Mus musculus: one gene and its partner. The protein of the gene in region 2 interacts with the protein of the main gene of each other region in a pairwise test. Links are inferred from orthologs where the notes say so. Each region holds a gene or a part of one and is shown on either strand. Other genes may lie near its edges.

Region 1 (3,973 bases), on a different chromosome or scaffold from region 2:
AGAGGAGGACCGGGGGGGGGGGGCGCTAGGGCTGGGGCTAGAGAAGAAGGGCGAATTTGAAATCCGTAAGAGCAAATCCCAATGACCTGGGAATGTCCAAGAATTTTGTCTGTTTTGTTCGCTGTTTGTTGTCGTTCGGGCTTCAGAAGCGAAAAGAATAGAAATTTAAAAGGCAGCTTTGAAATAAACAATATAGCCTTTTCCGTGAAGTAATCGTTTTATATAAAAGGAAATATCGCCTCCTCAGTTTCATTCAGCCGTGCCAGAAAATGTTATAAATGAGAAGACCCGCCAACTTTCGGCGAAGAATGCCAGGCATTGCACTCAATAAACTGAGGCTGCAGAAGTTCATTATCATGGTGCAATCTTTTTTTTAAATAAGAGAGAGAGAGAGAGAGAGAGAGAGGAGTCGGGACAGAAACTGGGGCGTCTCGGAGCGGGGGAGGAGGGGGGCAGACCGCCTACGTCGGCGCCCCCGCTCGGGGCTGCGACTCCAGACGCGACGAAGTGAAAGGGGAGAAAAGAAAGGGAGAGGGCGAGACTGCCGGGGGCGGCCGGCTCCGAGGTGTTAAACATTTTTGTTTGCTTCTGACTTGTGGAGCCCGAGGGCCGCGTCTCCGCAGCGCTCGGCCCGGGTGGAAGGTGCCCGGGGGTCGGGGTTCTTAGCAACCTACTCCAGGCTGGGGGGGGAGGGGGCGCGGGAGGGAGTGGGAGGCGGGGGAGCTGGCAGGGTGGCCGCAAAGTAAGACACGTAAGAGACCTCGGGACACAAAACGTCTCCGGGACCCCGCGCCAAGGCTCTGCAGGGAGGCTCCTGAAACTGCTCCCCCGGGCATTGAAGCAGCTCAGGGATCCTGCGGCGGGTTGCAGAAGTCTCATCCCGGAGCCCTGGAGCAGAGGTGCTGGGGACCCATTCCCGGGGTCCTCCGGGGTCCCCGCGCTCCGCCGGCCGCCTCCTCCAGCGCCCTCACTCACACGCGCACACGCACACACGCGCGCACACACACACTCGCACGCCACCCCGGGCGCGCCGGCTCCGAGCGGCGGCGTGCAGGACTGAAGTGGATGTTCCTCCCCACCCCCGACGCGTCGCCCCCAGCCCCCGCCCCTGCCTCCTTCCCCCCTCCCCTCCCGCTCCTACGCAAATAAGAACTCGGCGATTCCCCTCCTGCCGCTTTGATTTCGGGCACCTCCGACAGATAATTGGGAAGGGTTTCCAGAAGGTGGGAAATGTCACCTGATTCACACTGAACTTTTAAAAGCTCCCCACCCCCAAAGAGCCGGCACACCCTCGGTCGCGGCCGCCCTCCCACAGCCCCACACACTGGGAGACCGCCCACCGCAAACCTCGGAGACCCCCGTCTAGATTTAAAGCGCGGCTGCGCCCGGCTTCTGACGTCCATTGAATCGCGCGGGCGGCCGGTGGCGAGCGCGGGGCTGCGCCGGGATCGCTGCGCCCTCCGCCGCTCGCCTCTGCGACGCGCGCCGCTCGCCCGAGCCACCCGCCGCCGCGCTCCTCGCCCCGCGCCTGCCCCAGGATGGTCTGCGCCAGGCACCAGCCCGGCGGGCTCTGCCTCCTGCTGCTGCTACTCTGCCAGTTCATGGAGGACCGCAGCGCCCAGGGTGAGTGGAAGGGATGCGCCCAGAGGCTCGGCTGGGGCAGGGGTTCTACTTTTCTGCTGTCTCCACTTGGTCTGTTCTGACCTACGCTGCTCTCGGAAGATGTTGGAACCACCCGGCTACTCCTGTAGAACGGAACGGGAGGGAAAGACTGAAGGCAGTGACACTTTAGGATAGAGAGCGGAGTTTAGAGCCAGGTTACCCTCAAAAAGGAAAGGGCTTGAGTGGAGGAGCTGGAGCCTCAGTAGTTAGGGGTAGATGCTCCAAGTTCTGGTCCTAATGACTTTAGATGTTATCTCCCCTGGCTGGCTCGGGAGAAGGGCGAGCATCCGTAGCCTGGAGATTACAGTCGACCTACTAGCAATCTATCCATCTTCCTTCCATATCTTTTGGAGACTCTTTAAAAAAAAAATGACGGGGTGGGGGATGGGAGATACCGAATTTTCTTGGGTGGCCGGGGGACGTGGTTTCAGAAACTTTGCCCAAACTTGGAAATGTGGGTACTGAAATTTTTAGAGGGAGGTAGTTTTACGCTTAGCGGATGCTCCTTCTGCCTCTTTCCCCCAAGCCCCGCGAAAAAGAAGAAAGACAAACCAAATTATTAGCCCGAAGTGTTTTAAGTACTTTACAGTTTTCTCCACTTTGCCTCATTCCTGTTAACTTCTGTGAACCAAGCAGCCCACAAGCTATTTAGACTCCGACCTGGATTAAAGAGCAAATTTCTGAAGTTTATCTTCTAAAATTAAAAATGAATTGATTTTATTACAATTAGTCTCCAGGCTGGATTTCTTTTTTAAAAATAGTGGTAACCCCGCAGCTTCACGACAATTACTCTCGAGTCACTTTGGTGATTCATGAGACGTCTGCTTGCCCAAAGTCCGAACACATTAAATAGGGACAGAGAAAGAAACTATTTGTAAAGAGGTTCTTGGGAGACATAAGGTAGGTATGTGTGACCCGGTAGACGCCTCCGGGTTCTAACCCTGCTGCGTTGCCTGTTGGAGCGGTAAGGTTTTGTGTGTCGTAAGCTGCCCTCCCCGGCACCGGTCCTAGCCGTCTGCCCGACACTAGGCTGGGCTACCAGCCTTGCTGATAGGGGCGCTGCCTGGGTGCCGGGACGTGGGCGCCAGAGAAAGCAGCCCTCGGAAATTTCGAAAGACCGCGGTGGCTGCGGGCGTGCTCCGGGCTGGCGGATTGCAAAACGGGCCCGTCGGGCGGGCTGCGCCTCGAGGCCGCTCAGGGCAGATCCAGGCTGGGCCCGACTGCTTTTTTTTTTCCTTTCATTTTTCACAAGTATCTTTATGCTTGATCTGTTCCTGCAGATTCATATTCATTCTCCCTACACTCCCCCCTCTCCCCTCCCTCCTCCCCTCCCTTCCACGTCTCCCCTCTCTTACTTTCTTAACCCCTGTCACAAATAATTCTCTTACCGCCTACATGAAACCGACATGTAAAAACATCCGTCGCATCCTGTTTTTGTCAGGTTCTTTAATCTGGTCTTCCAGTCGCTGCAGGTTATGAAATGGGACGAATAAAAGTAAACAGTCTAGTAAAAGTCAATGCAAGCTGCACGTGTTGTGTCTGGGTCACTGGTAACTGACATTGATATGGCTGGGGCGCAGCGGCGGCCGCTCTAGCCCACCTCCCACCTCCCACCTCGGTGACGGGTCCTTCCCCACTCTCCCCTTTGGAGATTCATATTCTCTCTCTCTCTCTCTCTCTCTCTCTCTCTCTCTCTCTCTCTCTCTCTCTCTCTCCCTCCCTCCCTCCCTCCCTCCCTTCCTCCCACATCCCTCTCTCCCTCTCACATCCCACTGTCCCTCTCCTGCTCCCCTTCCCCCAATCACTTGCTCCCCGCCCCACCAGGCCTCTTTGCCCAGCTCTAAGCAGCCTTCCTTCCCGCTACCCCACGGCTCACTCATTCACCTACTGATCCCTGTCTCTTCACAGCTGGGAATTGCTGGCTCCGCCAAGCAAAGAACGGCCGCTGCCAGGTCCTGTATAAGACAGAACTGAGCAAGGAAGAGTGTTGCAGCACCGGCCGGCTGAGCACCTCATGGACCGAGGAGGATGTGAACGACAATACTCTCTTCAAGTGGATGATTTTCAACGGGGGCGCCCCCAACTGCATCCCTTGTAAAGGTGGGCCTCCTCTCCCCTAGGCGGCAGGCCCTCAGTAGAGGGCGTCTTGCCCTCAGCGTTCCTACTAGCTGACTGAAGCTTAGGATTGGCAGAGTTTTGTTCAGTTTCTCCTTTTTTTTTTTTTTTTTCAAATTCTACCCGGAGTGGAGTTAGCTAGTGGAATCTGCCTCTGCTCGCGCTGGAGGCAAAACAAGGTCGGAAGAGGTCAGTC
Region 2 (3,978 bases):
TTCTATCTCACATTTTTTTTTCTTTCAAGGAAAACAATCACATGTCATTTCTGAGAACACTACAGAATGGCTACGACAGCTTCCAGAGACGTCTAGTCAGACTTGCCCATCAAATCCATGTCTGGGTGTGAAGAGCGGGCAGAGCAATGGAAACCACTGTTCCCAACCACCACTGGTTGTTGCAGATAATTCTCTTACAAAATCTCCCCTTATGTAATTATCAGAGGCCACAGCACCTATTCTTTATTGTAAGACACAGGTCAAGGTGGTATGGCAGGCTGCTCTGATGACACCCACATCTGGACCACGATTGATCCTCAATAAGAAAAGAGTCATTCCAGAGCCAGAGCTGCCAGAAACACGCCCTGCGACGCAGGAGGAGGAGTCTCTAGGGAGCGGCCTGGACCTTGCTCCTTAGCAGTCACCTGGGGTACCGATCCAAATCCGAGGGTCCTTAGCTGGGACCTGAGTCCCAGTTGATGAGATTACATGACAAAACAGGGCAAACTGCATCTCAAACACTCTCAAGGTTTACCCCCAAAAGCTATGAGGCAAAACCAAGCAACACTACTCAAAATACTGAAAATGCGGCTCACAATCCTAATTTCGGGCTTCAGTGAACACCAATTACAGAGGCAGGGATGTGCAAACTTGCAAAACAAGTTTTCTTCTGCCGATCTGTATTGGCTTGAAGAGTATTCAAAATTATCTACTAAGAAGCACATCACAATTTTTAGCTCTAGAAACCAATAACCACAATTGGCAAGTGTCGCCAGTACTGACACCAATAACCTGGAGACAAAACAACACACCCGGAGTAGACCGGAGCAGATGCTATCATCTCTTTTCTCAAACATACCCAATTCAGGGGCTGGCAAGATGGCTCAGCACATTAAAGTGCCTGCCACCAAGACCAACGAACTGAGTTCAATACCCACGACCCACAAGGTAGAAGTGAGCCAACTCTCTCAAGTTGTCCTCTGACCACTGCCAATGGATGCCCCACCCCTATATGTGAATATAAACCGAAACAGAAAGCCCCAACAACAAAACCATATTCAGCAAATAACAAAGTGTTCTTTGCTTTTTTTTTGAGACAGCCCAGCCTCCTGAGCGCTGGGGATTAGAGGCATGAGCCAACGCCTTGGTCTAACACGTGGTCTGTGAAGCACTGAGCAAAGTGTGTGTGTAGTTCAAGGAATAATTTTATTCTTAAAGATAAACACGGCAAATCAACTGTTGATTTCTGAGCCATTATATCATAGCCTATTATTCCACTCCTGTGTGGAGATTGACCCCAGGGGCCTTTAACTACCCACACAGTCGTCAGAAATAAGGCTACATTTTACATAGTTTAATTAATCAACTTAAGCCCATCACATGAAATTTATGTGTATTCAGTTTAACTTCTGATTCTGGGCGACTCCGATCAGAGCCTTGGTAGCAGGCTTTTGGGGCCCAAGCTTTTTCCGAGTAACTGGTTTCCTGGCACCAATGTACACCGCTCCTATTGGAATGGCAAAGGTTCCATAAGTAGGTCAGTTTAAACAGATAAGGATCCAACTGGGTGCTGGGACTAATATGGCTGGTAGTGGGTGAGCCAACTTTTGTACTGAGACCCAACCAGGTGCTCAAAACTGGAGGGCGCGGACCTGTCTTCCACGGATTTCCTAGTTTAAGGGTGAGCCAGTCTTTCACACATCAATTTCCACCCCCAACCTCCTTTCACTTTTCATTTTATAAATATTCCCCGAATAGTTACAGTGTAACAGGCTCTGGGTTTCCCAATCTGGAGGATATTTTGGTTCTCAGTAACTTTCGAATATGGTAACAGTTTTTCCCTTGGGTATTATTTTTCTTTTCCCAAAGGGCAGGACTTTGTACTTGACTACTCCCTGGGGGAGAGCCCTGGTTCCAGCAAAGCCCACTTATGGAGGGTCAATCACTGAAACCTTAAGGTTGCGAGGCCCCGGGGCCAGACTTTGGGGACTGAGTCATTCCAAAGCCAGAGCTGCCGGAAACACGCCCTGCGACGCAGGAGGAGGAGTCTCTCGGGCGCGGCCTGGACCTTTCTCCTTAGTAGTCACCTGGGGTACCGATCCGAGGGTACTTAACTGGGACCCGAGACCCACCCTCATGCACCGACCTGGCCTGTGTCCTCTAGGCGGCAGGTCACTGATGGAGGGAAACTAAGGCCGAGCCCAGCAGTACAACACACCCGCGCGGCGTGTGGCACCGCGTACTCGAGAAGTGGCGGCTCTCCATCTTTTCCTAGAGATCCTAAATCCTGATTCAGTTGGGGCACGGGAAGGGGGGAGTGTCACAGGAGGACCCCGGTCCATCTCTTCACCTCCGCCAGATTTGGGCTGGCGGTAGGGAGTGCAGCTCCGGGGACTCAGGTGCTGCCCACGAGTGCATCTCCCGTACCCGGCGTTCCAGGGTCCCCTCGTCCCCTCCCCCAGGGCATGCTCCACCGCCGAGGGCGCACACAGGCCCTGGGCCGCTAAGCCCGCGGGGACACCGAGAGTGTCCTCTTCAGCACCGCGGGATGTGCGCGGCGCCCGGGCATGCGTACCTTGCTCTCGATCAGCTTCACCATTTTGGCTGTTGCGGGGAGGGAGCCACACGCGTCTCAGCAGAACCAGATGGAAATGGATCCAAGGCGCCCAACGGAGCTTGCAACCGAGTGCGGCGCCCGCCTTCTCTTTATAGAAATAGGGCGGAGCGCAGCAGGGCGGGGCGGACGGGCACGCGCGGCGGGGACGCGCTTCCCGCCTCCCGCGTCCGCCAAGGCGCCTGGGCAGGCCGCGCCTAGACCACGCCCCCAAGAGGTGGGGCGGTTTTCCAGGGGGCGGAGCCAGAGTCGGCTACTAGTGCAGCCTGGGGACTGTCCTAGCGCTGGCCTCACTCCTGGCTTCCCCGCCCCACTCTAAGCTGCCGAACAAGAACCTTAGTTTATAAGGGGCGGAGCTAGCACAGGCTCCTGGAGCAGCTTCGGGTTTTTCCAGGCTCCAGACGCCGCGCGGCAGCTACCCCTAAGAGCCAACTTCCAGCTGCCTCAAGGGCACTTTAACAGCGAACAGCGCCGGGGTAGATCACGGTCCTCTCTCACACCGTAGAGTCCTTCTGTAATCACACTGCCCATGCCCCAAACTAGACCTAAGTCAGATACTTCCAGATTGGGGCTGGGGACAGTCCCTAGGACTGCCCAGGCAGAGGTGTATCCTTAGACTAGGGCGGCCATGCTGCAGTTCGACTCAAAGTGCTGAGTAACGATGACCAGGAAGTGTCTCAGTGCGCGTCCTCGCCAACTTTCTGGGTAGTTCTTTGCCGCTTCTTTCTCCTCTCTCTCTCCTATTCCTTAACTTTAACAGGTGAACCTGCTACTGGGAGAGGCACAGAGCCGTTTAGAGCCCTGTTCTGTGCCCCATGCACATGTAGGCATGATAGAGATCGGATAGTCTAGCTCCCAGCATTGTCTTGAAGGATTTAAGGGCTTGAAAACTGACTGAGGACAGCGTTTGGCCCATAAGGAAGCACTCAATGAATTATTCTAATTATAGTCATCGCGAGCGCTAATTAAGCTTGCGTGGTGCCTTGTGGGGCCTTGCTGAGTTTGGCTGCCTTGTATTTACAATGACAGTATAGGCTTTGAGGAGATTTTTCCGCCTTGGGAGAGGACGCCAGGAAGAGTCTTCTTCAATGATAACTGAGGTGATGTTCAGGAGGACAGGGCATGGTGGAAGAAGCTAAGATTCTTAAGGTGGCTTTGTGCAGCCCCAAGAGTGCCGCTGTATGTTCTGGTGAAGCAGCTGAGGTGGAGACTGGACAGAGCCAGCATCCTGGGAGGAACTCACCAAGCCTGCATTTGGAGAGCCGATCTAGATAAATCTACATCGAGGTGAAGCACGGGAGGCTAATGAAACTGTGTCTCAGCCACCCTACCCCTACCCACTGGCTTCCCTTGTTCAAAACATT

Evidence for each region.
Region 1: the proteins of Txn1 (region 2) and Fst interact in binary tests that used the Homo sapiens proteins (3 or more experiments, as listed by UniProt). The link is inferred for Mus musculus from reciprocal best matches to the Homo sapiens genes TXN and FST.

Annotation. Positions count from the first base shown.
Region 1 is NC_000079.6:114,456,152-114,460,124, reverse strand, and holds the start of Fst (follistatin FST315 precursor), read left to right. Parts: upstream 1-1,173; 5' UTR 1,174-1,538; coding exon 1,539-1,623; intron 1,624-3,050; exon of another isoform or gene 3,051-3,329; intron 3,330-3,546; exon of another isoform or gene 3,547-3,570; coding exon 3,571-3,762; intron 3,763-3,973. UniProt on the Homo sapiens protein: Multifunctional regulatory protein whose primary function is to antagonize members of the transforming growth factor beta (TGF-beta) superfamily including activin, myostatin, GDF11 or bone morphogenetic proteins (BMPs).
Region 2 is NC_000070.6:57,953,612-57,957,589, forward strand, and holds the start of Txn1 (thioredoxin), read right to left. Parts: upstream 2,801-3,978; 5' UTR 2,600-2,800; coding exon 2,576-2,599; intron 1-2,575. UniProt on the Homo sapiens protein: Participates in various redox reactions through the reversible oxidation of its active center dithiol to a disulfide and catalyzes dithiol-disulfide exchange reactions.